Linked DNA regions of Arabidopsis thaliana. The protein of the gene in region 1 interacts with the protein of each later gene in a pairwise test. Each region holds a gene or a part of one and is shown on either strand. Other genes may lie near its edges.

Region 1 (8,627 bases):
TACGTTGTGCATCCTCGGATTATAGTTAAACACTGCACCAAAGTTTTGGAAAATATAAAATTTTAAGTTAATCATATAATTTTTTTTTTTTGGTCTAACGTTAAATTAGTTAATCATATAATTGATTACTCGACCACTCTTAATTGATTCCATATATTGACACTCAGATTATAAAGTAGCTGGAACTGTTTAGGAATTTCATAAATCTACATACTATAACGTTGGTTGAGATATTTCTTCATGCGAAAACAATTTTAATTCATCACTCAAGTATACCAAAATAAATTAAAAATTAGGTTAGTGGTACTATTTATGATATTTTAAAATATTTTTTGTTAAATTTAAACGCACATGAATTTTTGCTATACACATAAATCAGCGTTTGTGAATAATCGAAACTAGAAAAAAAATTTTGGAGAAGGAAGATGTATACATACATATCTATAATATAGTAAAATATATCACAGGCTCAATCATGTAAAAGATATACACTATTTAAACTGTGTATGCAAAACATTTATCAATCATATTTGTAACCTTTAAACTATAGGAAGTTTTTTATTTGTCGTGTGCTTTATACAAAAGCACATCTTGCCCATACTTAGAAGCAGCCATGATATGGATACATCCCTAGTGGATATGAAGATTAGAAAGCTTAACTGCTTGTGGTTTAAGTGTAACAAGATAGTATAATAATTACTGAAGCTTGATTAAAAGGATGTGAAGTATATACCAAGAACGTCGCCGGCTCTAAAGTGTTTGCCTTTAGGCCAACCCACAGCGTTAAAGGTCCAGATACCAGAGTCACCGACCGTGTACGTTGCAGCTTGAACGTAGTCAGCTTGAAGCAACAACACTGACACAGCCATGAGAGTCACTATGGCTCGAGCCGACCATGATGCACTGCCTCTTCCCTTGGCCATTGATCGATCTTAGGTGAAAGTTTAGAGAAAGAGAGAGAAACTATAGAGAGTAAATGAGGATGAATTGAAGAGTAAATGTACAAAGGGTTTTTAAAGAAGAAGAAAATAAGACATTCAATGTTTTTATTTTATTAAATTGGGTGTCTCAACAACCCATGATATATGTTCATTTATTATTTTTGGCCACATTGTCTATGTAGAAATTGATTATAGACTTAACTTCGGTTTCTTTTGTCTCATTATTGAAGATAAGAGTTTGGTTTTGACATTGTTACACTAAGTTGAATTTTGTTTCTTTGTTTTGAAAATGCTTATATCAACTAAATAAGGAACTTGTGGACAAAGACTATGTCATCAACAACCCACGATATATGAGCATTTATTATTTATGGACACATTGTTTCTATTGGAGATATAGTTTGGTTATGATTTTAGTACATAGTTTATAGGCGAAAATAGGTTTGAATTTGTGTTCTTATTGAAATGCTTTGTTATATTAGTATGGTAATGTTGGGAAAACGTACACATCATAGGTTAAAGAACCAACAGTATTGTGTTATTAGATTGGACTATTGAGTTTGGAATATGTTGCTTCAAGTTTCTATTTGTGAGGAAAGGAACACACAAATATAAAGTGATTCAAAATAACGAAGATATATTCTACGTGAGAAGAGAGGTACTGTAAATTTAGAGTCACATTGCTGTGTATAACATATAAGAAAACTAGATGTACAAAACCTACTTACATATACGCCGAGAGGAGAACGTGGTCAAAAAGAATCGGGTAGATCTAACTGTGAATTTTATGTCTGTGGTATAAAGATTTTAGCCGATGTGGAAACCGGTGGACTTGAAAGAACTCGATAGCGTGGGAAGCCTTTGCAATGCAATAACTCCAGCAGCGAAAGCAGCAACAGACGCCAAAACAAACGCCGGTAAGTTTCCTCCTCCAAACAATTGATCCCATGGACCCGCTCCAAGTGATACTATCATCTGTTTAGAGCCAAAACCATATTCAGACACTATTTACGGGTCAAGACTACACTCGAAGTGAGTGGCATTATACAAGAGAATGAAATTTATCAGTGTAATTAGATTTGAGAGATTGCCTGGGGAATAACGATTGCGAGATTCAACACTCCTATAGCCAAACCTGGAGTGAGGAAATGAAACCATTAGGGATTACTGAAATCTAAGATTTAAGTACAAAAACTATGAATATAGTGAAGATATGAATCTTTTCACAGACCTTGACCGCCACCGGAATCAGCAGTGACTTCTGCTGTGACAGAGAAAGGGACACTGTATGTGATCTGCATTAAAGAATGGTTTTATCACATATTTTAGAGAAATGTTGCAACACGAAAAGAATAAAGAGAATTACGGTTGAAAGAAAGCACATACAGCTAGGGGAAAACCAAGGAGTGCAAAAACGATTACGGCTGCGGTTCTTGTTGTTTCGTTTCCACGCATTATGTATTCAATTCCATTTTTGTCATCACTGAGAGACATCAAGCTGATTACAGCTGTTCCCGCCATGCAGGCAAATACAGTAAAATTGCTCAAAGCCCATACAACCCGAGCACCCATCCGCTGACACATTGGTTCAATGAGAAATGAGCTGATCCCAAGAACAACCTACGGAAACAGGGAAGAAGAATATTCAATAACGGGCGAGTAATTGAATTTTGAAGAGCAGTGCAGTTAAAAAACAGGTTATTATAACGATTCTTACAGAGTTTAGTAGCAAACCAAGTGCACCTTCACGTACACCTTGATCATAGAGTTCCATATGCAAACTATCTCCTGTTGGATCCCCATGGTAAACTTCTCTTCCCATCCAATCTGTATCGAACAGAAAGAAGGGGAACCAGGATAACTGCAAAGAACAAGACCACAATCAAAAATATAACAGAAGCAAATAATTTTAAAGATCATTAAAGAGTTTAAGAAAAGAAACAGTGTGAAATATGTAATAACTGATCATAATTTTTCTTTGGCACTCACCCATGTAAGAGCCATGACGATAAGAACTGAGTGCATAGCCGGTGGCAAATGCCTTAAACTAGTTAGCAAATTCACTAAAACAGATCCAGGGCCATCAACGTAGGTCTCATCTTGATGCTCATTCTCTGAATTGCCAAACTGTTCATCCGTATCACGTTCCACTCTCTCATACTTGATTCCATTGGCAGTACCATTATTTAATTTTGAATGCTCAAGGCCTTTGGACTGGAGATCATCCAACAAAGGTGCAGAATCTTGTATGCGGGTGGGCTTGTTGCTTGTAAAAGGAATCTCTTTAGCAAAATAGATTGTGACAAGAGTACATATAGTGAGAAAGACCTGAAAAAATGATTTAAACTCTTAAAACATATAGAACAATATATTCAGATTTTAGACTATGAAACAAGAACAAAAGCCACTGGGTGCAATAATATAATTTCACTTTCAAAATCACCTCAAAAATAATATAGACATACAAACAGAACGCATTGATTTGCGACATATATGAATCACAAGTCACAATGTACAAACGTGAGAGTGTTTCGTAAAGACCAGCCCATTCCATTGCAATTTAGAAAGCTTAGTAAGATGCATGTGTCAGAAAATTAAACATACTGCTTACCACTGCAAGAAGAAACGCTGCTTTGAGATTTCCACATGCAGCACAACATGCTCTACTAGTTAAAAAAGGGAACCATCTGCGCAGTAAAATTGCCTGATCATTTAACAGCTGGCGGAAAATGCAAAATTGCAAATGAGGAAAAAGAATACAAGATTTTGAGAATAAGGATCTCAAAGATTACTCTTGCCATTTTCCGCTAGCACCGGCAGAAAACCCAAGGATGTTCCCAATAGCCATCCACAAGCAGAACACAGCATTTGCAGTATTCCGCTGATCAGGACCTAGGGACAGCAAGAGACATCTCATTAGAAGCACAGCATATTCAATCTGATTCTAGAGTTTGAATAGAAATTCTGTTCTGTTAAGTGTATGGTTATATTCCATTATTACCTGATAGATCAGCTAGAAGAGCACGAGCAGGTCCCTGAAAATAAAAAAGCCGAAAACATCATTCCTGGATACAGAGGTAATGACTAGTACCATTCACTCAAGTACATTGCAGAGGCAGATCTGAACCTGTACTGTATTGTTTGCTAGATCCAACAACCAAAACCCAATGATAAAGACAACAGCTGCCCTGGTTCGTGTGCCTTTGAAAGTACTGCATTTCAAGATACACATCAAGTCGTCAGTTACTTTAATTTTGATACATTCCATAAAAAACATGCCATTGGCAGGGGAGCAGGAGAGTTACCTGCAATGTTCCTTTGAATCTCCTAACAGATACCCAATGTCTGCAGAAAATCCGATTATTATCACCTAAATTGCAAGCTTTTGTTTAGCTTATATAAAACACAATGTAGCCAGCTATCTCCTAAAAGAAAATCAAAACAGAAATCATATCTTCTATTGGCACTTACTGCTATTGAGATCATGAATGATCCAACTAGAATAAATGGTCGTCTTCTTCCATACTTTGAAGTACATTTATCACTCCAAATGCCAACAAAAGGCTGGACCTAAAACCCAACAAACAAATAAGTATGAACAAAATGGGGCAGAAAAATAGTTTCTGATCCAATATAAATCAAAACTTGAACTCTCGTGAGATCATTACGTGCAAGATAGTAAAACTGCTAAAATTCTTAAAGAAACTTTTAACCTACCACAAGGCCTGTAATTGGGCCGCACAGCCAAATAAACGAAGAAAAAGCATGCGATATTCCAAGGGTCTGCATCAACCAACCAAATGCAACACTGTTAGATAAAACTCAAAAGGGTTCTTCAGCAACAAGAAAATCAAAATACTTCCAGCAAACAGATATTTAACAATAGTTCTATCTACCACCATAACTACCCACCTGATACATATATGACCAGTACAATACTATTCTAAACACAGTCTAATCTCTGATTATACAATAGTTCCGAAAAAGGCTAAGGTCTTTTATATTTTTACAAATGCTTATGTAATCCAATGAACATAAACAATCTAGCTAAATTCCAATGTCATATACTCTTCGATAAGCCAATGCTATAGAGTTCCATACGAAAATATCTCATGGCTATGTTGGTGACAACAACTACCTAACCTAAGTATTAGAATTCATTGATTCACCTACAAAGTACTCGACTTTCTCGTACAAAGCTACACAAGAACAAAACCCTCGAATCTAAATTGCTATAGAGAAAGCCACAAGTGATAGAAATGGTAACAATGACAAGAGTAATAGTAAGTACCTGAATATAAGGAGTAAGAAGAGAAAGTTGCAATGCCCAACCAAATTGAACTCCAGCGGCAACTGTACAACTAAGAACCAACGTCACTAAACTACAATTCTTCGACACAGATTCACCATCAGCCGAATCAGAATGATTCGAAGGAGAAGCAGATTCAGAGAACGACGAAGAACCAGATTCGTTTTGACGATGCTTGGTGACCGTCTCAAGTTCAATTTCCTTCCTCAAATTCCTATACGGAACCGAGATCGACACCGAGTCACTCATCGTCCTCAACACACAGATCCCTAATTCGTATCAAAATCAATTTCTCATTCCGATTTAGATTTCTAGGGTTTTGATCTCGTCGATCTAGATTCGGAGACGATGATCGGAGAGTCAAATTCGGGCGGGTGAATATTTTGATGAAATCGATTTTTTTGAGGTGATTGAGAGAGAAGACGCGGAAGTGAAGAAGGAAGGAAGATTCGTTTTACAGGGAACCGTTGATTTGTAGATTAACGGATGAGATTAAAACCTAACTTAATAGTCAACGTTTTCGTCTCGGGCTTTGTGTAATCAGCACCGTTGGATTTGATCGGATCAAAACCGTTGCTTCAATTTAAAGGAAGAGCGGACGAAACTCACCGTCACCGACACCAAACAAAAAGTGTGTGCTTTTAAAAAAGTAAAACGGTGTCGTTTGATAAGAGTTGAGAGTGGGCCTGTAGTTTTTTGTAGCTCGGCCCATTTTTGTAAGAAATTCACAACTGTGGTACATTTAGCCCAAATATTAAGTCTATTAGAAGAAAGCTGTCTCATTTTTTGTTAGCATACACACCTAAAACCTATAAAACATGTGTCAAGATTATATGATTCATAGCTATGTCCCTTCTTCTATTTTCTGATGCCTTACACTGCGAACACTGTGATTAGTGATTACATTGGTTCAAGTTTGACTTCATGAAATATGTTTGGTTCAAGTTTGCTTCTAATGCTACCATTCAAATCCAAACTCTCACAATTGCATATTATTAAAGAAAAAAGGATAAGACGTCTCAAAGAAATTTTTTTATATAAAATCATATAGGGTATGTTCTTATTAACGTATATATGAACATGTGTTACTAATTTAAAAACAAAATCATTTTGTAAATTTGTGTTTTACAACAAATATTTTGTGGGAGATTTTAGGTGCTAGCAATAATAAGTAATGTTAATTAAGAGAGTTATAAACATTTTTTCACTATTTAATAGTGTTTTTTTCTTCTTACCAATGTCACTATTTACAAGTATATGTATTTTCTAATAACTAATGTAAACATGTTTGTAAAAAGATTATATAACATATATGTGTGTGATTGTGAAGGTGATAGAGTTCTTCTTACCAATGTCACTATTACAAGTATATGTATTTTCTAATAACTAATGTAAACATGTTTGTAAAAAGATGATATAACATATATGTGTGTTAACGTGATAGAGCCGGATTAAACGAATAAAAGGAAGAAAGTTAGAAATAAAAAGGAGGAAAAAGGAAAAAGACGTGTGCCTAACAAATGTATCATGTATTGGTACAAAAATGCAAAGATGATACATAATTATTAATATTATTCTTGCTTGTGGAAAATGAAAGCTAATAGGGCACACAATTGAATTAATACTTACGTCTCTCTTTCTCCATCTCTTCCCTTGTCCCTCTCTTCTCCTTTCCTTATCCACGTGTACATGACTCTTATGTCCCATCTTTTTTTTCTTTTTCTTATCATCAAAAGTTCAAAAACAAATCCTTTTGAGTTTAGTTGTTATGGTGTGCATGCATGTATGATGTATCCGAACCAAAGTATAGTCGAAAATCCAAATTTTGTATTCTTTAATGGTTAATGGTTAATTGAGAAGTTATAGCCGAGTCTCATACACTTGTTGTCCATCAAAACTGATACCATTCTCAATAGTATTTGAACCAGAAAACCACTATTACTCACTTTTGTAAAAGAACTATACATACGCGCCGTTAGACCAAATATCACTTATTACAAAACAAATTTTTTATCTATACCATGTTATAATTTTACATAAGAAAAAATAAAATAAAAAATCGGATTATTCCATTCAAAAAAGCATTTACATAAAATTCAAGCCTATATAGGCAATTTGGTAGCATTGACTCGGTTTCTCCACAAAAAAATGAACCTTATTACACCTTTGGTTTTATCTTATTTGAGATTGATGATTTGATCATGTGCCAATTTTTATTTTTATTTTGTTATAAAAAAGATCAAGGTTAATAAGTTGATTGAAAAACAGTAATAAGTTTTTTTAGTTTAATCATGTAATTACATTTGACAAAAAGCACGTGTTGAACGCGGCTATGACCCAAATAAAAGAGAAAAAAACATATGTACCATAACTTAACACGTCATCTCCTTAACGTCGAGCACGTCAAATGCTTACGCCTGAAAATAACTCCTTCGTCATTTCTCAAACGACAAATTCAAATATTAATAATATAAAAACTATATGTTTAAAAAAAAAAAAAGAGATGCGTTATTACAATAAATTTAATTTTCTAACTTAGTGATTGGTTGGCAATTTTGTCGTTCTCTGTCGATAGATCATAATTTATAATGTGATATTTACATATATACATAAGAATGGGGCTTACACTGTTTCACATAATAACTCCATTAAAGTTGATAAAGAAAAATTATAATGGTCATTAATCATTATTGAGAATGTAACCATCGATATTGAAAGATAGAAATGTGGAAAGAACGTGAAGAAATAAAAAAGAATCACGTCACGTGGAGACAGCTCTTTTACGAACTCTTATATCCACTCACTTCATTAAATCATTTAAAAAGTGGACTATTTTTTAAAAAAGCAACAATGGTTTGTGCATATATTTGTAATGGTTTTTTTTCTAAAATCTTTGTGTCATTTAATTGTCCCAACAAAACCAATACATCATCTTGCTTTTTTTTGGGTCCGATTTGTGCATATATAGAGTGTTCATATAGAACGGAGTATATGCGAAACCTTAACTCGACTAATTAAGTTCGGAAGCTACGTCCAATTATAACAAAGTTGAGTCAAAAATGCATCATCCCCTGAACATCGTCTCGTTGACCGGACATCGAGACTATGTGCTATCGCAAACAACATGTGATCAAATTCAAGAGACATATTAATAGATGACAATACGTTTTTAGGTTAATGGTAGATGAAACATTAGCTTTGTTTTTTGAAATATATGAAGAAAAAAAGAGTACTATAGTTGTTTATGGTTCTCGACATCATGCCTTTGTTTTTGTCGAACAATTGTTTCGTGAATGTCATGGGATAATACGGTTTCGTGTAAGTTATAACGAACGAGACATTAGGAAGATAATATTGACTAGCTACAGTAAATAAAG
Region 2 (5,965 bases), on another chromosome or scaffold:
GCTCTCTAAAGAAATTTTGCTTAATTGGAGTTTCAATGCCAAATCCTTCTTTGTTTCTATGACCATAGGAAAATTTAGCTGGATTGATTAAGAATTGGGTTTTACTTTATTGCCTTTGTGATTAAGGAATAATGTAGTGATACAAGTAAGGTTCTTAGTACTAAATCCATGCTTGTTGAGTTGGCATTTTCATTGAAAGGTATTTCTAAAGAAGTTTCCTTAATCGGTGTTGCAATGCCAAATCATTGGTTGCCTCTATGATCATCGGATCATATGACTGGATTGGTCAAACAGAATGGTTTTACTTTATTGGCTCTATTATCATAGAATAATGTAGTGATGCAAGTTAAGGCTTTTAATACCAAATCCTCACTTCTCGAGTTGTGGCATGTTCATTGAAAAGCCTGTGGAAATGCTATCTAAAGAAATTTTGTTGATCAGAGTTTCATTGCCCCATAGCGTTTTAGTACTGAAACTATAACAAAAGTCTAAAACTGGTATAGATGATGATATGCCGAAATGTATAATCCATGAAGGTTAGTAATAGTTGCTTTGTCTGTGTGAATTCAATTAACACATGACAGATTATGCCTACTTAAGCTGGACAACTGTGGCTAGGCTGCCTCAAGTTGATTTGGTGATATGCTGTGTTCTTTAATTATGGGTCCAGTGTAGTTGATAGCTTTTATGCCTATGGGTCATATGGGTGTTCTAATGGGTGTTCTATTTAAGAAGTTTGCGTGATCACAGTTTCAAATTCAATGCCCCATAGCGTTTTAGTTCTGAAACTATTGTACCGATGATGAACCGGGGAATTCAAAACACATGTCTAGAACTTATATAGATGAGTAATCCATGAAGGTTTAGTAATAGTTGTTTTGCCTTTGTGAATCTATTAACACAGTAATAGGTTATGCCTACTTGAGCTATTGCTCTGGACAACTTTGGCTGCTTCAGTCTCTTGGTCAAGACATGCTAATTTGTTAAGTATTAAAATGTTATTTTAATTACGGGTCCAGTGTATATTTGAGAGCATGTATGCCTATGGGTCATAATGGGTATAGCGTCGTGGAAACAGTGTGAGGACGTTTATATAGTCAAACGAGGCAATTGTGTACATAGAGATTTTGTATGATTCTTAAGTAAAATGTGTCAAATGAGCACCAAGGAAATTGCCTTTGTTTGTTACCCTTAATCTCTTATTTTGTAAAATCCAAACTTTCGAAGCTCATTTGGTTGAAAAATGATCAATGTTACGTTGAACAACATTGAATCTGAGTTCAAAATTTGTTTAGTTATTGCAAACAATTTGATTCGAAGTTCAAGTTCATTCTAATCTTGCACCTTTGGGATTATATCTTGAGCATTATAAAATGTCATATACCAAAATCCTTACATGAAGTATGATATTCTAAGATGAAGTCATAAGAAGACACGCATTTAAGAGAGTATCATATTACAAGTAGTGAGCTGCCAAGTGGGCATCGTGTTAGTTCAAAATTTCCGAAACGTAGGATGTTGGATAATCCCAAAGGTCAAACCCCCAAAACAAACAAAGTCAATATAACTTAAACTTAACTATACCATTTCCTTATATAACCTTCGAACCATAAATCCAATTCGGAATATTCGTTGATAGAAAACAATCAAGATTCAAAACCTCAAATATTTCTCATCATCTTTTGTCGATTATTGCTTGGATTTTGTAAAGACAAGAATAAGTTACTTCTAAGTGTTGTTTACACACTTTTTTGGATGACGAAACAACCCGGAACAAGTTGAAAACGACGACGCGTAGACATGAGGCTCGCTTGATTGACCATTACGCCGCCAGGGTAGACTTTTCGTGCCCATATATAATAAACCCTTCTCTTTCCTTTATCCCACAACATCATCCACTCCAAATATCACATATTACCAAATCTAATCGCCGACATACATTGAACTCAAATCCGCTCAGAATCTCCGACAATCAGTTCCAATCCATGGCTCAGAATCAACAACCTATTTTCCAGACCAAACCTCCAGGTAATAATAAGAATCAACAAACCAGATCTCTCGTTTCTTGATCTCCTCTTCTTACAAAACAATTTGATTCTAATTTCCTCTGTTTCTTTTTGCAGAACAATTTGTGCAAATACCTATCAACATCGAGCGTGATTCTTCAACCACACGCATGAACCAAACCGGAAACACAATCCGGAAACCAAACCACTGGCCAACCATCACCATCTCAATCATCTTCGTCATCATCGGTCAATCCATAGCGAAACTCCTCGAAAACTTCTACTACGACAAAACCAACCGAAGCGAATACAACGAAAACCGTCAAAACGATGGCGTTTGGACTCAATCTCTTCTCCAAACTGTTGGTTTCCCTCTCCTTCTTCTCCCGTTCCTCATCTTCATCACCAAGAACAAACGCAACCACCATCAACAACCTCCGATCACTTCCGATTCAATCCACTTAAAATCCTTAGCTGTGATCTACATTTGCATCGGAATTATCATGTCCGTTCAAGGAAGACTCGCAGCCATGGGAAAACTCGAGATCCCATTTGGTGTTTTCACTCTGATCTACACAGCACAGCTCTTCTTCACTCCTATCTTCGCAGCTTTCATTAACAAAATCAAATTCAATCGATGGGTTGTTATCTCTGTGATCTTAGCTATCATCACCGGAGCTCTTACTCTGTCTTCTTCATTCGGTGGTGAGCCTGATGAAGCAGAGGAGAATTACGCTAGAGGCTCATGGGCTGCTCTGTTCGCTGGAATCTGTTTCGCTCTTCTTCTCTGTAACATCCAAAACGTCTTCGACAGTTACATCTTCAAACGAACTGAATCAACCAATCAAAAACCAAGCTTTGCCTCTGTTTTCGAAGTTATTATCTTCTCTTCTCTCGTTGCTACGATCATCTCCGTCGTGGGTCTGCTTATAGCCGGTGAGCAACACGATTTGAAGAGGGAAATGAATGGATTCTCGAAAGGGAAAGGTTCTTATGTGATGGCTATGGTTGGTCAAGCTGTTTCGTGGCAGGTCTATTGGGTTGGGATTGTTGGACTTGTCTACTCTGTTTCGAGCGTGTTGTCGAATGTGATCAGTGTCATTACGTGGCCGATTGTGTCGGTTCTTGTGGTGATCTTCTTCAATTTCATGGATGATGAGTTTGATGCCTTCAAAGGTGTTGCCTTGGTTACTGCCGTCTTAAGCGCTGCAGCTTATTTCTTTAGGCTTCACAAAGACAATCGTATGGCTTATTAGGTTTGGATTCTTGAATCTCTAAAGAAAGTTTTTTTATTTCCCTTGATTTTTTGTGTGTATATCTAATCATATATTCTAGGTGTTTATCTTGTGTAAGTGTAAGTGTGTAACAGCTTTGGTTATAGATGTAAATTTGTATGTTTTACAATGAAAATGTTTGGAAGTGTGCAATCTATAAGTACTTAGTTCAAGTCATCTGTATCAAGAGCCTCAAAGTCAGGTTCTGATGGCTTTGTTAAATTCATTAAACTCTTTGAACTCTCGGTGACCCTTAGTTTATGACCCTTAAGCGCGTTAGCAGCAAATCTTGATGCAAATACCGTGGAACGTAATGTAGAACTTGATCCAACAGAACTATCACTCCTTGTAACCATACCACCCATATTATCATCATAATATTCATCATCTTCATAATCCATTTCTTCTTCTTCTTCTTCTTTACGTCTAAGCTCTGCGATTTTCCTTCTTAAATGTCTACGCCAAGCGGCTTGGATGAAACAAGCAGCCCAAGTCCTCCATTGTTGAGAGTAAAACCTGAAAGTTTGTTGAACCTGACGACTGTGAAGACGCCTGAACTGACTAGCCACAAACTTGAGCTCTTCCGCTTCTAAAGCGAAAGCCTCTACTTCAGTTAGAGCCTTCACTGTTCGTGTGGAAGAAGGTAAGTTTGAGCCTGCTTTAGGGTCAAGTGCCCAAGTCAGAAGCTCTTCACCACAAAAGTCACCTTCTTTCAATAAACCTCTGTTAAAGAAACCGCTTCTTCCACCATCTGTTGTTACACTCTCTAACCGGCCTCGGATTATGAAGAGCATTTCGTTAACCGGGTCTCCTTCTCGCACTATGTAAGTGCTCTCTGTGTATAGACTTGGCTTTAGTCTCTCACATATTGCGTCTAGTAATCTCTCATCCATATTAGCAAACAGAGGAACCTGCAAAAAAAAGAAAGAACATTGTTCCTTGTGAATGAAGTGTAGGATCTTTAGGCAATTCACATTTCTGAAAACTTACCCTGCGAACTAAATTTAGACAGAGATGGCGTTTGATGTCTCTTCTAAGATCTTTTGGTAAACTCTGGACTATGTTTTCTTCGTCGACTCCTCTTGTTTCCAACCATTTGTATTGATCATAACGTCTGACTCGTTCCCTCAGGTTTTGTGGAAGTGACCTGTGATGCATCCACTGTTCGGAATCACGTCTTTTAATCCTCATTTCCTCTAAGCGAACCGTAAGTGACTGAAGATAAGTTTGCATATTCCCAATGAGAAGAGCAAACAAAAGAAGTCCAGCTACAGCAATTGCAATTGAAAACAAAACTTCTCCTGGATATGTACTTGTTTGCAGCCCTTGACCTAACGTGCTATACAAGAAAACACCCAAGTCAATAAAATTGCACCACAGTCTAACAGCTATTCATCGATTTTCCAAGGAAGGTACCTGAGATTTTGGAGACCCCACCATAGACAATAACAAAACTTGGAGAAAAACGTTGTCGAAGATACAATACCGGAAGACACAGCCTGGCTATAGATCCCGTAGTTGAATTTAGACTCATCGCTTTTAGCAGAACAATTGTTCTTAAAAAGATCAGGGACTGATTTGATCCAGTCGGTTTCGCGACTGCTCATTAATTTGCTGCCACAATAAAGAATCTGAACACAGACCTTGGGATCAGGCTGGACTTTACAAGCGGATCTCAAGCATGTATCGTTACGTTCCACTGACAACATGTACCAGAACGCTCCAGTTATCTATCAAAGTATAACAACATTTCTTAAAAACAGAACCAAAAAAAAAAACAATAGATATTTAACCTAGTGCTGATGGATGAATTTTGAAATGCTTACGTGACTTGCAAGCATATACCAGAGGAGGTAATAAGCAGCACCAGCCCAAGCACCTTCAGCGAAAGCTCCTGCTGTTTTCTTGAGCTCTGAAGTTAATGGAATAAACCTAACGAATCTTGGTATGTACTGTGTGATGACAATGTGTAATAGCGCCTGTTTTGTTGGTAATACATCTGTTCCTTTAGATCCGTGAAGAAACTTCCACACAGCAATCTGCATCAACACCACCAAGAATCATCTATTCAATTGAAAACAATGCACAAAACAAAAAAGATTGAAGCGTTTTATTAACTACCTGAGGTAAAGGAAGAACCGCGAGGAAATCGACAATGAAATAACGAGTCAAATACCGTTCAGCGATCTTTGCAGGGTCGATCACAAGCTCACCTCTTCCAAACACACGAGAAGAAGGAGCAATGTAAGCGGTACGGAACTGAAGAGCCATTCGTGTAAGATAAAAAACATCGATGATCGTTCTTAGAGTAGTAGTTGTCACAGCTAATTTAGAGTCAATCCCAATGCAGTTCTTTGAGTTATCGACAATAGGGAGATAGAAGAACAGAGGATCAACAGAGACAGCAAGAATGCAAGAGATAACAAACATTCTGTTCCATAATAAAAGTGTTTTGTCTTGAGGATCAAAGATTTTCTTCTCGGAGACTCTTAGATCTTCAGGGAAAACAGCTCTTGTTACACCTGATGTGAATGATTTTCCGATCGTTTTTAGACCCTCTGATCCGATTTTAACACCTTCTCGAAATGATTTTGATGTGTTCTTTGTCTTTCCTCCTCCACGACTAGTTACGTTAAACAATCCAAAACATGATCGCTTCTTCATTCCCGTAGCATTAGATGACAT
Region 3 (8,675 bases), on another chromosome or scaffold:
TGGTAAGAGTTTTAAGAAAATAATTAAAAATAGAATGGTTGGAGTCTTGGAGATCGTGGTGAGTTTGAGATCAAGTCAAACAACGAAATTTGGCAAGAATAATACTAATTAAGCTTCCGTGAAATTAAAATGTTTTCCCTTTTCTTAGTTGGCTTAAATTTTACAAAACGGCTCAATATCTGCTTATGAATTTCATGTTTTAAGAGATCAATTCTGTTCTCTAGTATTTGGTTGGATATACGTTTGAAACTTTCTTTTACATTTTGGTACAACACAAGTTTTGTTTTCTTTCTTGATTCAAGTGTTTTTTTCTTTTCTTTTCTGATCTGATTCAAAATTAATTAATATACCAGAAAATCAGTGCATTTCGAAAGCACAAAACTAAATATTTTTCTTTATTAAGCATATATATAGCAGAATATCCTACATACGTTATACTTATCATCAAATCACAACATGTACATTGACCTATTAATTAGAAGGAAACATCCAATATACCTACAGACATTATATATATATATAGATACTAATTAGAGTCCTAACCTAAGATCTAAACAACACCCTGATGTGTCCGAAGTAGAAAGATCCTGTATTGTTGGAGGAACATTCAAATCCAAAGCACCACTGATCATCGGCTCCTCCTCCTTTTCCCAATGACATCTCATGTGACCTCCTAAAGCTTGACCACTCGAGAACACTCTAAAACAGATATTACACTTATGATGCCCTGAAAACGTAAGGATTTTTCCCTGATGATCATGCCCACTAGAAGTAGAAACCGTCATAGGATCATCGGTTACGTTTGTGATAGCGAAACAGCCTTTAACGTTTTTATGACTCGCTCTGTGTCCTCCTAAAGCCTGATGTGATCCAAACACTTTCTTACATCCTCCACACTCGAACCGTTCAATACTCGATGATGATGGTGTACCATTAGACAGCATTAAGAGACAAGAAGCGACTTCATGGTCTTCCTCGGACATAAATGAGACCCAATTTGGTAATATCTGGTTTAACTGTTTTGAAGAAGCCGCGGTGGGCACACGGTAGTTAGGAGGAGGATTAATGCCACGCCATTGACGCTCAGGGTGACATCTCATGTGACCAAAGAGAGCCTTCCAAGACCAAAACTTTCTGCCACATTCAGTACATGGACGTGTGATTTTGGGGGCATTTGGGTCTGGTTTTTTGGTGTATTTTGGTTTTGACGCGGATTTTGGTGAAGAACTAGAGGATGAAGCAACGGTTTTGGTGCGTTTCTTCTTAGGACTGTGATCGTAGCTTGAAGATAAAGCAAACTGGAGATTTGGATTAGGGTTGCTTGTGTTAGAAGGATGAAGTGGAATGTGAAAACTGCGATCATCATAGGAATGATTGTTGTTCATTGTGAGCACGTAGAGGAAGTGATGGAAGAAAAGTGGGAAAAAAAAGAGTAGAAGTTAGAGAAAGGGTTGCTTAAGTAGAAGAAGAAGGAGAGGTTACGTGGGAAAGAAGTTATGGAGGAACAGGGAGACAGTTAACTTCAGTTGAGGAACAGAGCGGTTTACTATGTAAGGAAGAGACTTATCTCTTTGCAGTTTGAAACCACCACGTTTTTTATGTATCAGTTTTGCTGCTTATTATTTGTTGGCCCAAGTTTATCTTTGATGGGCCTTATAATACTAGAGTTCATTATTTCTTATGGGCCTTATAATACTAGAGTCCATTATTTCTGATAGGCCTTATAAATCTTGCGTCTATTATTAAATTCTAAGCCTATGCAAGAATATTGAAGCAACAAAATTCCAAAGCCAACAAAATTCCAAAGCCAATTGGAAGATTTGGAAAAAGTAAAGATTTTAGTGGAGTTTGAGCTTCCATTACTCAATTTCGGTGGAGGTTCCACACTTCCACAGAAATAAAATCGCCACTCTCCCATCCCATGATTCACACTATTGAAATTGGACATTTGATTACGATTTGTTTCCTAGATTATTATTTTTGTTTCTATATCCGTTAGATTTTCTTTATCGTGCGTTTTCTTATCTTCCTGAAACATTTAAATAATAACAAGAATTGTTTTTGGTATAAGTAAACTTGTCTCTCTTTTTTGGTAAGAAGGTTTAAGGTTGCCTATATAGGACAACAAAATCAGAAAATGCCATAAGCATCTGTAATTTTTATTGGTTTGGGGTAAAAAAAGGTTACAAATAAAAGAATGGTCCAACAACATACATTCATTTTTGGAGTTATGTCATATGTGGAACATGGGAAGATGTTTTAAATACCTGAACCAAATAATATTCGAAATATCCAGACTTTCTCATTGTCGCATGAAAGACCACAAAATATAATACTATTACTTTTCAAAAAAGAAAATGAAACAATAAAATAAATTTAAAACAGTCATTGGATCAAGGTATAACGGAATCCAAATACAAGTATAATATATAATTATAAAATACTGATTCAATAATCAAAAGTATAATCATACAACTCCATGACGCAAACGATTAATGGTCCCAAAGATGATTTGGTTAATTATCTCTTTTTTTGGGTTAATGATTTCACTAGCCAATAAAAGATTATAGACTACCATTATAGATTATAGTAAGGAATAATATGTTTCTCATCATCATCTTCTTTACTTTGGCTGGGAACCAAAAGGGTCACTTCGTCACTTGCAAACAAAACAAAAAGTTTTCATTTTTCACTGGAAACAAAACTTACAAGTTAAGAAGTTCACATTTTTCAATCGATAATGGCTCATTATCTATGTCGACAATTATGGTTAGTCTATCCAATTTCCTTCTCTAACTCTTTTTTTCTTAGCCTGTAAATGTGACTAGTGCATGAATTCTGATTGGAAGTAATCAAATCCCACCAAAAAGCTTACCACTTTCCTAAATCTTCAAGCAAACCCATGATTTTACTTTTGTCAGTTTACCTCCTTTTTGTTTATTGAAGACCTACTCCTTCCTTTTTTCAGGTTTTTATATGTGTACTCCTCTTGCTTGTTCCTCATGCTTTCTTTCAGCTAGATTTTTCATGTGCCTGACGAATCTGCTTTTCTTTAAAGGATGATTTTGGTTTGGGTTTGGGTTTTGGCATCTCTGCCACTCATTTCTTGACAATCCTTGTTCTCTATGTTTGAGGTAAGGGTTTAATCCTCGTGACACTTTTTCAGTTCTGGTTAAAGTCACTTTCTTTGCTTATCTTCCTTATTCTTTTTGTTTCATTAGAAGTTTCTAGCTTTCTCTTCCTATGTTACTCTTTTTAAAAAAATCCCATTTTGATTTGGTGAAGTGGCTCACAATCTCTCATTTTGTGATTCTTAAAGTTTTTGGGAATTTTATCTAATTGTTGTTTGTTTATCAAACTTGGTGTTTCAGGAACTGATTAAGCCAAAGCTATGTTTTGGGTTTTGGTTCTGTTGAGCTTCATTGTTCTTATTGGTGATGGGATGATTTCAGAGGGAGCTGGTTTAAGGCCTCGTTATGTTGATGTTGGAGCAATATTCAGTTTAGGGACTTTACAGGGTGAAGTTACAAATATTGCTATGAAAGCTGCAGAGGAAGATGTAAATTCTGATCCTAGCTTCCTTGGTGGATCAAAATTGCGTATAACGACGTATGATGCAAAGCGTAATGGATTCCTCACCATCATGGGAGGTGAAAAAAAGATATGATCTTGTTTCGTTGATTCTTGTTTTGGAACTAAACTTTTACTTATCCTTTGTGTTGGTTTTATTTCACAGCTTTGCAATTCATGGAGACTGATGCTGTGGCTATCATTGGTCCTCAGACATCAATAATGGCTCATGTACTGTCTCATCTTGCAAATGAGCTTAGTGTGCCTATGTTGTCATTCACAGCTTTAGACCCTAGTCTCTCGGCGCTTCAGTTCCCGTTCTTTGTCCAGACAGCACCTAGTGATCTCTTTCTGATGCGTGCCATTGCGGAAATGATAAGTTACTACGGTTGGTCAGAGGTGATTGCATTGTATAATGATGATGACAACAGTAGAAACGGTATAACAGCTTTAGGCGATGAGCTCGAAGGAAGGCGCTGCAAGATTTCATACAAGGCTGTGCTTCCTTTGGATGTGGTGATTACGAGTCCTCGTGAGATTATAAATGAGTTGGTTAAGATTCAAGGGATGGAATCTCGGGTAATCATTGTGAACACTTTCCCTAAAACAGGTAAGAAAATCTTTGAGGAAGCCCAGAAGCTTGGCATGATGGAGAAAGGCTATGTTTGGATAGCTACAACTTGGTTGACTTCTCTGTTAGATTCTGTTAACCCGTTACCTGCCAAGACTGCTGAATCTCTTAGAGGCGTGCTTACTCTTCGTATTCACACGCCAAATTCAAAAAAGAAAAAAGATTTCGTGGCACGGTGGAACAAGTTGAGTAACGGGACTGTCGGTTTAAACGTTTATGGTCTCTATGCTTATGATACTGTCTGGATCATTGCTCGAGCTGTTAAGAGACTTCTAGATAGCAGAGCTAACATTTCCTTCTCTAGTGACCCAAAGTTAACCAGCATGAAGGGAGGAGGGTCACTGAATCTAGGTGCATTGAGCATATTTGACCAAGGATCACAATTTCTTGATTATATTGTGAATACAAATATGACTGGTGTTACAGGTCAAATACAGTTTCTTCCTGACAGATCAATGATACAGCCCTCATATGACATCATAAACGTGGTTGATGACGGGTTTAGGCAGATAGGGTATTGGTCTAACCATTCCGGGCTCTCTATTATACCTCCAGAGTCACTATACAAAAAGCTTTCAAATCGTTCGAGCTCAAACCAACATCTGAACAATGTGACTTGGCCTGGTGGGACTTCTGAGACACCACGTGGTTGGGTTTTTCCTAACAACGGGAGACGATTGAGAATCGGTGTACCCGATAGAGCAAGTTTTAAGGAGTTTGTGTCAAGGTTGGATGGAAGCAACAAAGTGCAAGGGTATGCCATTGATGTCTTTGAAGCTGCGGTAAAACTGATTTCTTATCCGGTTCCTCATGAGTTCGTCCTATTTGGAGACGGTCTCAAGAACCCAAACTTCAATGAATTTGTCAACAATGTCACTATTGGGGTGAGCAAAAGAATCAAGAAAATATCATTTCTCTTACAAAGCATTGTCGAAACTGACTGTAATAGTTGTGAGTTGTTCATTTCTGCTTTCAGGTATTTGATGCTGTTGTAGGAGACATAGCTATTGTTACGAAACGAACAAGGATTGTGGATTTCACTCAGCCTTACATAGAATCAGGGCTTGTCGTGGTTGCTCCTGTCACAAAGCTAAATGATACTCCGTGGGCGTTTTTACGCCCTTTTACACCTCCAATGTGGGCTGTTACAGCAGCTTTTTTCCTCATCGTTGGATCAGTAATATGGATTCTTGAACATAGAATCAACGATGAGTTCCGCGGACCTCCAAGGAAACAAATTGTTACTATTCTCTGGTTAGTAAACAGTCACTGAAGTTGCATTTTATCAATATGTTGGCACATAACATACCTAAAGACCTCATAAGCTATGATCTATGTATGCAGGTTCAGCTTCTCCACGATGTTTTTCTCCCACAGTAAGTTACATCTAAAAACTGCAGCTAAGTTACTACTGTATAGGTGATGATATCTCCAACATCTTTATGCTACTAAACTTGCAGGAGAGAACACAGTGAGTACACTCGGTCGTGCTGTTCTGCTCATCTGGCTATTTGTGGTACTAATCATAACATCAAGCTACACAGCGAGTCTTACATCGATTCTTACAGTGCAACAGCTAAACTCACCAATCAGAGGAGTAGACACACTCATCAGCAGCAGTGGACGAGTTGGGTTTCAGGTAGGTTCTTATGCAGAAAACTACATGATTGATGAGCTTAACATTGCCAGATCCAGACTTGTACCACTCGGCTCTCCTAAAGAATACGCTGCAGCTCTTCAAAACGGAACTGTTGCTGCAATTGTTGATGAGCGTCCTTACGTTGATCTCTTCCTCTCAGAATTCTGCGGATTTGCCATTAGAGGCCAAGAATTCACCAGAAGTGGCTGGGGATTTGTGAGTACCTTCATTTAAAACTGTCTCTGCGGTTTGTTTGAACATTAATCTTGATCATCTTTTTTGCGGTTTTGTTTGTAGGCATTTCCAAGAGACTCTCCATTAGCAATCGACATGTCAACCGCGATCTTAGGTCTATCAGAAACCGGACAGCTTCAAAAGATCCATGACAAGTGGCTTTCAAGATCTAACTGCAGTAACCTCAACGGTTCAGTGTCAGATGAAGATTCAGAACAGCTTAAACTCCGAAGCTTCTGGGGATTATTCCTTGTGTGTGGGATCTCTTGTTTTATCGCTCTCTTCATCTACTTCTTCAAGATAGTCCGCGACTTCTTCCGCCACGGCAAATATGATGAAGAAGCCACAGTACCTTCACCAGAAAGTTCACGTTCTAAATCATTGCAGACATTTCTAGCTTATTTTGATGAAAAAGAAGACGAATCCAAGAGAAGGATGAAGCGTAAACGAAACGATGATCTTTCTTTAAAGCCTTCTAGACCAATATGACAGATCCATCAAGACTCAAGCATGAAAGATGAAGAAATGCAGACACACATACCTCATACTTATATAGTAGAATGCAGATTTTGATTTTAACTGTACTTCAAGAATAAGCCTTGAAGAATACGGAACATTTTTTAACCAAAGAAAGTGAAGCATTAACTTGTAAGACAAAGCTATATCATACATAGTTCTTAAAAAAAAGAATTACTTGGTATCCTTTTTATCTTCCAGTTATGTTGCATACCAAAACTGTAAAAACTAGAGGTGCCAATCCGGATTAGGCAGTTTAGTTGCTAAACCGACTATATCCAAACTCGGAAGCTTTCCAAATGTACCGGTTGGTTTTTACTTTTTATAGGATAGTTAGTGGTTGCTGATTAGCCATTGAATCAAATTAGTCACACTAATCACTAAAAACATTTATAAACTCAAACAGTTAAAAACTTGGCTAGTTTTCTGTCATATACTACTATTATGTAAATTAAATACTAAGAAAAAAAAACTATAAAAACAATCTCAAAAAGAAAAAAAAACTTTCAAAAATCTGAAGAGAAAATATCAAAATTCGAATAAAAAACTTGGATACTTAAAATCTACATAAAAATGATATAAAAAATATTGAATATTTGGAATCTCTAACGACTAATGCTGGATCCAAAATCCGGTTAGTTATCAATTTTTATATAATATTATGAAAATTAAATATCAAAACAATAAAAAGATAGAAAATAAAAAATAAAAATAAACCTTAAAAATCCAAATACAAAATATCAAAATTTTGAAAAAGCAATATAAAATTCGAATTAAAAATCTCGATATTAAAAATCTATATAAAGATGATATGAAAACAAGTTGAATGTTTGGAATCGCTAACAACTAATGTTGGTTCCAAAATACGATCAGTTTCATACATCATTATGCAAATTTAGTGTAAAAAAAAACCTTTTAAAAATCCGAATATCCAAATTTACATAAAATGATATGAAAACAAGTTGAATGTTTGGAATCGCTAACAACCGAGACTGGATCCAAAATCCGCTTAGTTTCAAATATCTTTATGTAAATTTAGAATAAAAACAAAATAAAAAATAAAAAAAAACTTTAAAAGTCCGAAAAAATTGACTTAAAAACTTGGATACTAAAATCTTCATAAAAAATAAGAAAACAAGTTGAATGTTTGGAATCGCTAACGACCGAGGTTGGATCCAAAATCCGGTTAGTTTCATATATTTTTATGTAAATTTATAATTAAAAAAAAAAACCGGAAAAATTGACTTAAAAACTTGGATACTAAAATCTACATAAAAAAAATGAAAACAAGTTGAATATTTGGAATCGCTAACGACCGAGGCTGGATCCAAAATCCGGTTAGTTTCATATATCTTTATGTAAATTTAGTATCAAAACAAAACAAAACAAAAAAACGTTTAAAACTTTTAAAAATCCGAATAAAAAACTTGGATAATATATCTACATAAAAATGATATGAAAACAAGTTGAATATTTGGAATCGCTAACGATCAAGACTGTATCCAAAATCCAGTTAGTTTTCATATCATCGTTATGCAAATTAAAAATCCGTGAGAAAATCGATTTTTGGGAGGAAAAAAAAAAAGTAAATAAGAAGGGATAGGAAATGAACCTCAATTTGTTGATGGGCTTCTGAGTATTATATGGGCTGAAAATGAGATTTGCAGTCCAAGCCTCTTTCGTCCACCGCCATGTCCGTCTTCCCCGTGTGCGTGTCCGTGACTGATAAACCAAAAGCCTCCGATCATCCGATGAATCATGAACCGGAGAAACCCAAAAGTCGCCGATCATCCGATGAATCATGAACCGGATAAACCCAAAAGCCTCCGATCATCCGATGAATCATGAACCAGAAAACGCAAAATCTTCCGATGAACCATTGCATTGAAGACAGGGTAAACAAAATCCGGAATCCTTTGAATTCAAACAAAAGTAGAAAACTTCCGACGACGGAGACTGAGAGAAGATATCGTAACGCCATTAACGAGAGACAAAGGAGGAAGAAGAAGAATCAGAGTTGAATTAGAAGCGAAGGAAACAGGAATCGAAGAAGAGAATGGTGAAAATCAGAGCAATTGCGTATGT
Region 4 (9,282 bases), on another chromosome or scaffold:
GCGCCGGAAGTATAACCATTCTACGAAATTAAATCATTTGATCAATTAAGAAGAAATTACAGGGAAAAGATCTATATAAAAAAGAAAGAGATTAAGACTAAAGAGATAAATAATAGGTAAACCCATTGGTCGGAAATCCGAGTGACTGTTGCATGTATAGCTAAGATTAATCATTATCTTCAATACAATTTGATCAAAATATATGTGGTGATGGATGGATAATGGGTGAAAAAGTCCCTTCGGGAACATCCGATAAAAATCTGTGGTGATGGCAAAAAAGAGTAGAGAGAGAAATTAAGAAACTCACAGCACATCCATAGCTGAAGGAACTACAAACAGCAACAAAAGTGCTGAGGATAACACAAGCTGTGATACGACGATCATCTCTGTCGTTTTCATGCCGAAGAAGTCCTTCTTCCATGCTTTTATTTTCCCCCGCCACCACTCTTACGCTTAATTTCTCCTCTCTTTATATATTAATTTTCCAAAAATCTTCTAATAAACAAAAAGAAATCTTGCTGATTATAAACAGAGGAGAGGACAAGATAGATAAAATAGAGAGAGAAAATAGATAGAGAAAAACAGAGTTTACACGTGGGGTTCAAGCACTTATTGACTTGCACAAGTGGCCAGTGGCCTTGCTCTAGATCTTTTTTTCCTAACAATTATAAAAATATTTGAATCATAAGAATAAACCATCATAATGTACTTAGCCAGATATGACAAAATCCTCAGTGCCAAAAATTTAAAACTACACATAATTTAAATGTGAGTTTCCATTAATTCTGAGCATATTGTAGAATAGGGAACTGAATGATTCTATTAGATAGGTTAAGTACAATATAGATTACAAGAGAGATTAAATGACAGTCCTAGCCTTTACATATCTATACTCTACACATATTACCCAAACCAAATACTCTAAAGAGCGATCAGTTTAATTACAAAAGTAAAATAATCGAGTGGGATTCTTTTTTGAATCATGGATATCGGTTCGGTTCAAATATTACCCAAAAACCGATTAGGTAAACAAGCTTTTCAAATTCTTTGACATATACATTAGCTTTTGGGTTAGTTTGTCCAACTTCCGGTTTTTGTGAGAAGTTTGTCCAATTTTCCTCTTGTCAAGACAATGAATGATCAATGTACACTTCCTCTTCTTTGGAGGAGAGAACTCTTCCTTCAAACTCCTTCTCCATGAGAGGTATCATTCCGGATTCAATTTCGAAGAATATTTCATCATCCTAAGTACTGTTCTACAATTTTGTGTAAAGGTCTTTACAAGACCGGAAGTTATGACGAAGCTTATCTCAATGAGAATTGAGGTTTTGGATTATGGTAAAAGTCACAATGTAAGGTGACTATGTCAAAGTCGTATGTTTTCATCGACATCTCTTTCGATGCTAATTCAAACTTGTATCAGTTTGATTATATATCCTTTTATGATTATGCTAGCTTTGTTTTGAAATCGTTTGGCATGCTTGACTTGTCCGATACGTCTGATCGTTGCTCTATCCTTCATTTGTTGTCTTAAACTAGGATAAATAAACCACTGATTTGCGAAGGAAAAAAATGTAAAATATTATTAATATCAATATGCAAATAATGTTACAAAATACATTTATTATTTGCAATGCGACTGACAACAGAAAATAAATTTTATCTTTTTACCAAACAAAATTAATAGTATATTACAATATAAATGTGCATTTAGGATGTCCCCGTAAGCGAAGCTTGTAATTCTTCCAATGATTGTCCTTTGGTTTCCGGTACGAGCATCCAAATAAAAATGAATGACATTCCTCCGACAGCCGCAAATATGTAAAATGTTCCTATTTAATTATTATATATACCATAAACAATATGTAAATGACCTACTTGAATTTAAAAGTATATTTAACAATATATACCTAAAAATAAAAAATAAATAAACAAAAACTCAATCATCCAATCTAAACAAGAAAACAAAAGCTAAAAGTATTTGAAGAAAACGTGAATCTAAGAGATATTTTCCGACCGCACATTTTGCACATCTAAAACTGTTTGATACAAATGTCAAAATTCGAACACGATTTTTAAATAACTTTATGTTTGATTTGTGTATTTTTATAAAGATAACTCTTAACTTTTTTTGGTAAATTGTTTTATCCAAATTAATAAAAAAGTAATAGAGAAAATAAAGACCTTGTGCGCTCCATTCAAACATAAAGTTGAAAGCGTAACTCACGAACCACCCACTAGTCCATGATGTTAATGCTACAATTGTTCCTGCTGAAACTTTTATATTTATCGGAAAGATCTGCAACAACAACAACAACAACAGCAAAAAACACAGTAAACTTTTTTTTTTCTTTCATAACGTCTAACTATATGATTTATATAAATTAAAATATGTTATTTACCTCAGACATAATGACCCAAGGTAGCCCTCCTATACCGAATGCAAAACATCCGAAGTAGACCTAACCAAATTTAATTTAAGATTTCTTATAACAAGTTAATACCAAAAATTTAAAATAAAAATAAAAATTTGCATGAAAAAATGAATAAATCCTTGAAAGAAAATGAAAGATTTTACCAGAATGTTTACGAAGACGAAAATTGGGATCAATTCAGGAAGCACATTCATTTGCTGTCTCAGAAACAAACAAAAAAAAAAACATATTATAAGACGAGGATTGTTTTGTCCAAAAAAAAAAGAGGCGAGGATTGTAATATTGATAGTTATCTCATATTAGTCCAATATAGAAATTCTACAAGAGTAACCTGTAACGTGAAGCTAACTCCAATAAGCAAGGATCCGATGGACATTCCAACAGCAGAAGCCTAGAATAATGTTTATCAAGATAATGTTAATAATTATTATACTGTTATATTGTTATGTCTATATATAAACTGTATTTTTCTAACCAATAGGAGTGGTCGTCTTCCCCATCTATCCACAAGAATCAGACCAACCAAAGCTTTTGGGATCTACAAAGAGTAAAAAATAATCATAATGGTATAATCGAAATAGCTTTGAGAAATTTAATATCGTAAAAAAAAAATCAATTAGTTTAAGGTACGCACCACGAACACACCAAATATCATTGATCCAAGTCTCTCTGAAAAGCCTGTTTAAACGACGAAAATACAGATAACATAAATAATAGGTAGTATTAAATAACTCCTACGAGTATTATTTATATGAAAGCAAAATAAATTCATAAATAATAATAGTAAGACTATGAATATCCTAACCAGCTTTTCTAAATATGGCATTTGAATAATATGTGATACCGCTAGCTCCAGATAATTGTTGTATCAACATTAAACCAATTCCAACCTGTAAATTCAAAACAAATCATTACTTTCATCACTGTAAAATCAGAAGTAAATAATTAGCCTTTTCACTAAATTCCTTCCTAGTTCCTAACTTCCTATATATGTTACCGTACCACAAGAGTTCGTCTGTACTTCTTCTGAAACATGTCAGAGAAACTAGACTTTGAATCTTCTTCAAGCATTTTTGTCATAACCTGAAAAAGTAAAACAAGCATATAACTACAATTACATATAGAGAAAGTGTCCTAATAACTTAACAAAAGAAAGAAAGAATATTAATAGTAATAATACAGTAATATATACTAATAGAGAGTGATTTCTTTTAAACATATATACCTGAATTTCAGCTGCTTCACCTGAAACATCAGTATCTTTCCCTCTAAGTCGATGCAAAGAACTTTCTACTTCTTTACTTAAACGGATTTTAGCCTGATAAAAACAACAACAACAAAAAATATATATAAATGACTGAAGTAAAACGTTTACATATTTATGTCGAATTCATAGTCGAAATGATTAAAAGGAAATGCCAACCAGCCATCTTGGAGATTCCGGTATAAAAAATATACCGATCGTTTGAAGGATGCATGGAATTGCACCTGAACCAGAAAATAAAATTGAAACTGATCAACAAAATTCACTTGTTGATATTGAAATAATATTGTAAACGAGGTATTTCGTTACCTATAACGGCCATAACCCGCCAATTAATTACAGTCCCAAAAAAATAAATCAGGGAAACTCCACTGTTTTGAAGAAGCTATAAAACCAAAAAACATTGGGTTGTTACAATAGAAAAAAAATATATAAGGCAATAAGGGTAACAGATTTGAATAACTTCTTAGAGAAATAAAATAAAAGAATAGACTTTATAAAAATAAAAAATAAAAAGAGTATAATAGAGTTTACCTGGTTTGAAGCAGTAAATGCGCCACGAACATGTTTTGGAGTGATTTCCGCAATATAGACTGGGACCTTTTATGAATATAAAAATGTTGGTTTTAAGAAATGTGAACTAAAACAATAAAAATGTAGATGAGATTACCAAATGTAATTGGTGTAAATATTTGTTCAATTACCACGTAGCTAATCAAGCCGACTCCTATGCCCAAGGAAATTCTTCCCAAGTCCAGCCAGAAGACATTCTTTTTGTTTCCACATTTATTCAAATATATATATTAGATATTTCTACGAGCAAAATTATTTTAATCGAAAAATAATTTAGGATTTCTGTGGATTTACACCTTTGCGAAAGCAATGGAGAGCCAGCCAAAAACGCAGAAAAAATCGCATGCCCACAACGTCTTTAATCGTTAATAACCACCCAAAAAAAAAAGATATATATCAATCAGAATCTACGAAAATCATTGCAAAGAAACAAGTATTAAAAATAAACAAGTGCATAATTTGATGTACTAATTACTAGTAGTATGATTTAAGAAATATGGTAAAATGGCAATTACTCGTCTTCTGCCGAGGATGACTGCCAATTGACCGCTGAACAAGGCCCCCACCGCACCTCCCACATTCAGAAAGGAGCCAAACGCTGAAAACTGATTTAGAAAATGTGATTTAGTTATTGAGAAAAATTAGCCTTAAAATACTTATCGATTACATAAAATGGTGGAAAAAAGTTAGCAGTAAGTTGTGTGGTAAAGAGTTACTAATCACAAATACTTAATTTTTAAGAATTAAATACCTCAACTTTTTTTCAAAAATTCCAACAGTAGTACTTAAAAAGCTTTTGTAAACATTTCTAAGTACTTCGTATACTATTTGATTATTATAAAATTAATTCAAATTAAAATGCTATGCTGTTTGCTAACTTTTTTTTGTTAGGTAAGTAAATCGTGTGATCTTTTGATTAGTTTACCTATCATATTAAAATTTGTCAGAAGAACTATATTCGATAACTGAAATAATTATTAATATAATTGAAAATACAGCTATATACAACATTTTAATATTGCTCATGTTCAAATATGACATACGGTGTCGGCGTCACATATGCATGAATGCATCTCTGATCTCTCCAAGTACAAAACAGCTATCATATCGCATTTTCATAATATTCACTTTTGTTTTTTTAAAAATATAATACTTTATATATGGGAAAATATTCATTTTCCAATATTAAAATACGTATCTCTCTAATATTCACATACGCATCTCTCAGAACGTCTGTACATGTGGTCTCTCAATATAGTTAACTTTGGACCGCAATAAAATAAATAATTCGTAAGATAATATTTATTATAGAATAATAGTAATAAATAATAATAATTCACTTTCAGTAGCGAAGCTATAATTTATCAATGACGTCTTTACACGTAATTGCGTATGATTATCCATTTGATTTTCTTCATAACCGACCTGGTTAGGTCTGATAGTTTAGTAATCCATACAAGAAGATTTACAAGCAGCTGATGTTTTAGTTCATAAACAGGTGTAATTATGCATTTTAAGCATAATTAATTAGGGATTAATTGAGTATTTATAGTGATAAAAGCTAAGAAATGAAAAAAAAACAAATTACATACTTGTGCCATAGAAAGGTCTAACTCCTTCATGATAGCAGTCTCAGCGCCTGAAGTATAACCAGCCTATCAAATCCAAGAAATTATAATGATTATTGTTCGAATAATTAAGAAGAAATTAAGAGATTAAGACTAAAGTAAGAAGTTTTAGAAACTGACGGCACATCCGTAGCTGAAGGCACTACAAACAGCGACAAAAGTGCTGAGGATGACACAAGCTGTGATACGACGATCATCTCTGTCGTTTTGATGCTGAAGAAGTCCTTCCTCCATGCTTCTATTCTCCTCCTCCACCACCATTCCTAAAGACTAATCCTTCAATCCACCTTATTTTCTCCCAAGAAATCTTCTTTAACAGAAAAAAAAAAACACAAGAAATCTTCTTGATTAATTGATATAACAAACAGAGGAGAGAGAGATAGAGAGCGAGAGAAAGAGAGAAAGAGAGAATCAGAGAGAGTTTACTTGTGGGGTTGAAGCACTTCATCATTTCCACAAGTTGGTTTGTTATAGAATACGATTTCGTTTTTTTATTTTATTTTAAATAAACAAATATTATCATTTAATCATTTCGAGTTTCGTTTGTCGCTTTGCATTAAGATAATAATGCCAACTTTGAATGCATCCTAGTGAATATAGCTCATTATCTGTCCTCAATACAAGTTGTACGTTCTTTTCTTTTTGTTCCAAATAGTTCTTATGTTAGAGAAAAATTAATATTTAGATAAGATTATGTGTTTATAAAATATAAAAGACAAAAATCAAACATAAAATAAACATTACCAGTGATAAAAATCACAGAAACTTTATAATTTTTCTACAAAAAACTGATTAACCAGACTCAGAATTAAATTGACCAAAATCAAAGGAAATATTCCGTTGAAGCGTATCCAAATAACTCTAGTCCAACGTGTTACATATTGCCAACATAAATATGACTAAACTACATCACCATGTTTTTATAATGTTTTACCAAATAAATTAAAAAATATGGGCTTCAATAATTGACCTACATATTCGTTGGGCGCATCTACCAACGAATTTACAATTCTGTTTTAAATCTTTTACAGTTCGATCGAGCTGTTTTAATTTATTAAATTTACAGTTCTGTTATAAATTATTTTTACTCAAATCAAGAAAGCCTAAATTAATTTTTAATGGGTGTTTTATCTAAAACCTCTGTGAGAATTTTGTTTACAAAATTTTATATTTATGGTTGACCAAAATGACCGTTGGAGTACTTAGCTACCGTTCGTTAAATAAATTTACAGTTCTCTTTTTACTTTCTTTTTACTCAAATCATTTAACAAAATTTATTCACAAAGGCCATAATAAATTAATAATATTTTAGCGGGTATTGTTCACTAAAGTTTGACAATTTGATATAGTATTTTGGTCATACGCAAGTCTTAATCAAAGTATAGTATTTTTGCCAAAAATAAAAAATTATCAGGAAGACTCGGGAAGATTGAGTAAATTTCTCCATCCTATTTCAAAAGTCGTATTATTTTAAAAACAAAACATGTATATAAACATTTTAATTAGGTGATTCTCAAATTCAATTATTTTCTAAAATTAAGACGGAAATACTTTAAGGAAAAAATGTGGATCAAGTTGTTTTTACCCTAAGCAACTAATGCTAGACAAAAACAGAAATTGGCCACCTAATGGTCTCAATATTGTTTTTTATTACTGTTCAACTGATTTTAAAGAAAAAAAACTAACGTTCAACCATAATCATCGTTTCATTTGTAATACGAGGTAAAGTATTATACATACCTAAAGTCTGTAAAACAAAGGATATTTGTACCTTTTTGTAAAAGAATATTGAAAAAACTGTACCTACATCTGTTTTTAAACAAAGAATGGTTTATAAATGAATAATATATGTTAATGTTTTGTTTATATTATCGGTGAAGACTATATAAATGGGAGTTTGTTGAGAATCGAAGACTATAAAGTTTTAAACGGGAGTTGTGTTAACTAACTCACTTAATAACAAGTAAAGTCAAGCATAGCATAGTGTAACGTGTTTCCAACATAATGATGATGGTTATGATAATTTATTTTGCGTCATATGGTTTTGTATCGTCACGATCGTTGACAATTACATGGATTTGTTTGGGAGATGGGGTGGGGTTAATTAGCATGAATGATTACTGAATTATTAAAGCATGGTGGACAAGTGAGTAAATAAGACCCCATCCTTCTCATATTTTAATCTACCCAATTTGGATGCCCATCCCATGTCTTATCACACGTTTTTTTTTTCTCGTTGGTAATCATTCTCAGTAGCTAAGTTTTTGTCAATACAATATGATAACGAATTGGCAATCGATATCTTCATCAGACACTATCCTTATTACTGCATAGTGTTGATGGGATTGTCCATTTCTTCTGTACCGCCCATACACATTTCGTTGTAATATTGGTTCCTTTTGCGGTTTTTCATGATCGTTAAGCGGGTCCAATTCAGTAGAAAAACTAGGTTTTGTTGTATCCACTATGAATCTTCTCTTGCAGGACCACTTCTGAAAAAATAAATTTACGTTCCATAATTAAGAAGAATATATACAAATTTATAAATAGAAAATATTAAGCATATGGTTTAACCCTTTAGGCTTGGTCATGAACGTAATATTTCTTTGAAATTAGAAAATGGTCTGAAAGGAATCAAGACTGAGAAGGACAAGAAACGTAGACATTTCCACTATCTAAAAACTTGAAGGTTATCAAAATTTATTGTTATTATTTTTCTTGTTATAGGTTGTTGATTTCTTTCAAACGCAACTTTTTTTATATATACCATATTTTTATGGAACAAGACATGTAAGATATTTTGGTAAGCCTAATATATCCCTTTTCTAGAGCACGTACGTAGTAGTGACATGTCTAATGATATTTCTTACAAACGGTACTTTGACTAATTAATCAATCGAAAAATATCTCACTTGTTTCTTGAAAATCTTTTTGTAAAATCATTAGAGACTTTATTTGTATATATCACACACTGAATATATATATATATATATATATATATGTATATTTATGTAGTTTAAATTTTGAGTATGGTAGTGTCTAAAAAGACCGAGATTTTTTTTTTCTTTTTTTTTTTCCCAAAATGTACATTTGGTCTTTCAAAAAAAAAAAATAATAATACCAAAATTTCAGTATATAACAATTTAATCTGTAATTATTTAATGGAGTAATTGATAAGTGATGACTTACTGATTATGAGATTGTGGTGGTCTGTAAAATTAGTCCATATATATTGTAAATTTGTAATGTTTGAATAGCGAACTGTAGTTGAATGTGAGTAAGATCCATAGTACTCAGAGCATAATCATCATTCGACCAAAACTAAAGATTCAGTCAAATTTGTGTTGTATTTATAATAGGCACTATTAATATACACCAAATT

The links.
Region 2: the proteins of SUT2 (region 1) and PUP14 interact in a protein complementation assay, tested with the Arabidopsis thaliana proteins (one large-scale study listed by BioGRID).
Region 3: the proteins of SUT2 (region 1) and GLUR2 interact in a protein complementation assay, tested with the Arabidopsis thaliana proteins (one large-scale study listed by BioGRID).
Region 4: the proteins of SUT2 (region 1) and AT3G05165 interact in a protein complementation assay, tested with the Arabidopsis thaliana proteins (one large-scale study listed by BioGRID).

What each region holds. Positions count from the first base shown.
Region 1 is NC_003071.7:826,798-835,424, forward strand, and holds SUT2 (sucrose transporter 2), read right to left. Parts: upstream 5,823-8,627; 5' UTR 5,500-5,822; coding exon 5,233-5,499; intron 4,725-5,232; coding exon 4,659-4,724; intron 4,512-4,658; coding exon 4,413-4,511; intron 4,312-4,412; coding exon 4,247-4,311; intron 4,154-4,246; coding exon 4,069-4,153; intron 3,977-4,068; coding exon 3,943-3,976; intron 3,834-3,942; coding exon 3,734-3,833; intron 3,629-3,733; coding exon 3,553-3,628; intron 3,270-3,552; coding exon 2,931-3,269; intron 2,803-2,930; coding exon 2,659-2,802; intron 2,562-2,658; coding exon 2,328-2,561; intron 2,237-2,327; coding exon 2,173-2,236; intron 2,077-2,172; coding exon 2,033-2,076; intron 1,917-2,032; coding exon 1,749-1,916; 3' UTR 1,482-1,748; downstream 1-1,481. Other genes in the region: ARPN (plantacyanin), read right to left, coding at 1-32, 734-923. UniProt on the Arabidopsis thaliana protein: Responsible for the transport of sucrose into the cell, with the concomitant uptake of protons (symport system). Can also transport maltose at a lesser rate. May also transport biotin.
Region 2 is NC_003070.9:6,830,441-6,836,405, forward strand, and holds PUP14 (purine permease 14), read left to right. Parts: upstream 1-1,884; 5' UTR 1,885-1,985; coding exon 1,986-2,028; intron 2,029-2,123; coding exon 2,124-3,262; 3' UTR 3,263-3,397; downstream 3,398-5,965. Other genes in the region: CNGC8 (cyclic nucleotide gated channel 8), read right to left, coding at 3,445-4,191, 4,271-4,619, 4,697-5,010, 5,107-5,319, 5,402-5,965. UniProt on the Arabidopsis thaliana protein: Purine permease implicated in ATP-dependent cytokinin translocation that controls the spatiotemporal landscape of cytokinin signaling. Depletes ligands from the apoplast, which leads to a suppression of the cytokinin response.
Region 3 is NC_003075.7:16,786,899-16,795,573, forward strand, and holds GLUR2 (glutamate receptor 2), read left to right. Parts: upstream 1-2,632; 5' UTR 2,633-3,134; intron 3,135-3,371; 5' UTR 3,372-3,391; coding exon 3,392-3,650; intron 3,651-3,736; coding exon 3,737-5,085; intron 5,086-5,177; coding exon 5,178-5,455; intron 5,456-5,545; coding exon 5,546-5,577; intron 5,578-5,661; coding exon 5,662-6,056; coding exon of another isoform or gene 6,057-6,074; exon of another isoform or gene 6,075-6,085; intron 6,086-6,137; coding exon 6,138-6,563; 3' UTR 6,564-6,787; downstream 6,788-8,675. Other genes in the region: DAZ2 (C2H2-like zinc finger protein), read right to left, coding at 531-1,385; AT4G35295 (homoserine kinase, putative / HSK), read left to right, coding at 8,435-8,485. UniProt on the Arabidopsis thaliana protein: Glutamate-gated receptor that probably acts as a non-selective cation channel. May be involved in light-signal transduction and calcium homeostasis via the regulation of calcium influx into cells. Could play a role in calcium unloading from the xylem vessels.
Region 4 is NC_003074.8:1,456,577-1,465,858, forward strand, and holds AT3G05165 (Major facilitator superfamily protein), read right to left. Parts: upstream 6,342-9,282; 5' UTR 6,162-6,341; coding exon 6,021-6,161; intron 5,928-6,020; coding exon 5,865-5,927; intron 4,878-5,864; coding exon 4,788-4,877; intron 4,629-4,787; coding exon 4,569-4,628; intron 4,470-4,568; coding exon 4,404-4,469; intron 4,300-4,403; coding exon 4,234-4,299; intron 4,085-4,233; coding exon 4,009-4,084; intron 3,924-4,008; coding exon 3,859-3,923; intron 3,754-3,858; coding exon 3,661-3,753; intron 3,519-3,660; coding exon 3,438-3,518; intron 3,326-3,437; coding exon 3,241-3,325; intron 3,114-3,240; coding exon 3,070-3,113; intron 2,974-3,069; coding exon 2,911-2,973; intron 2,827-2,910; coding exon 2,767-2,826; intron 2,633-2,766; coding exon 2,579-2,632; intron 2,463-2,578; coding exon 2,403-2,462; intron 2,300-2,402; coding exon 1,940-2,299; 3' UTR 1,833-1,939; coding exon of another isoform or gene 1,711-1,832; 3' UTR 1,560-1,710; downstream 1-1,559. Other genes in the region: AT3G05160 (Major facilitator superfamily protein), read right to left, coding at 1-20, 308-421. UniProt on the Arabidopsis thaliana protein: Sugar transporter.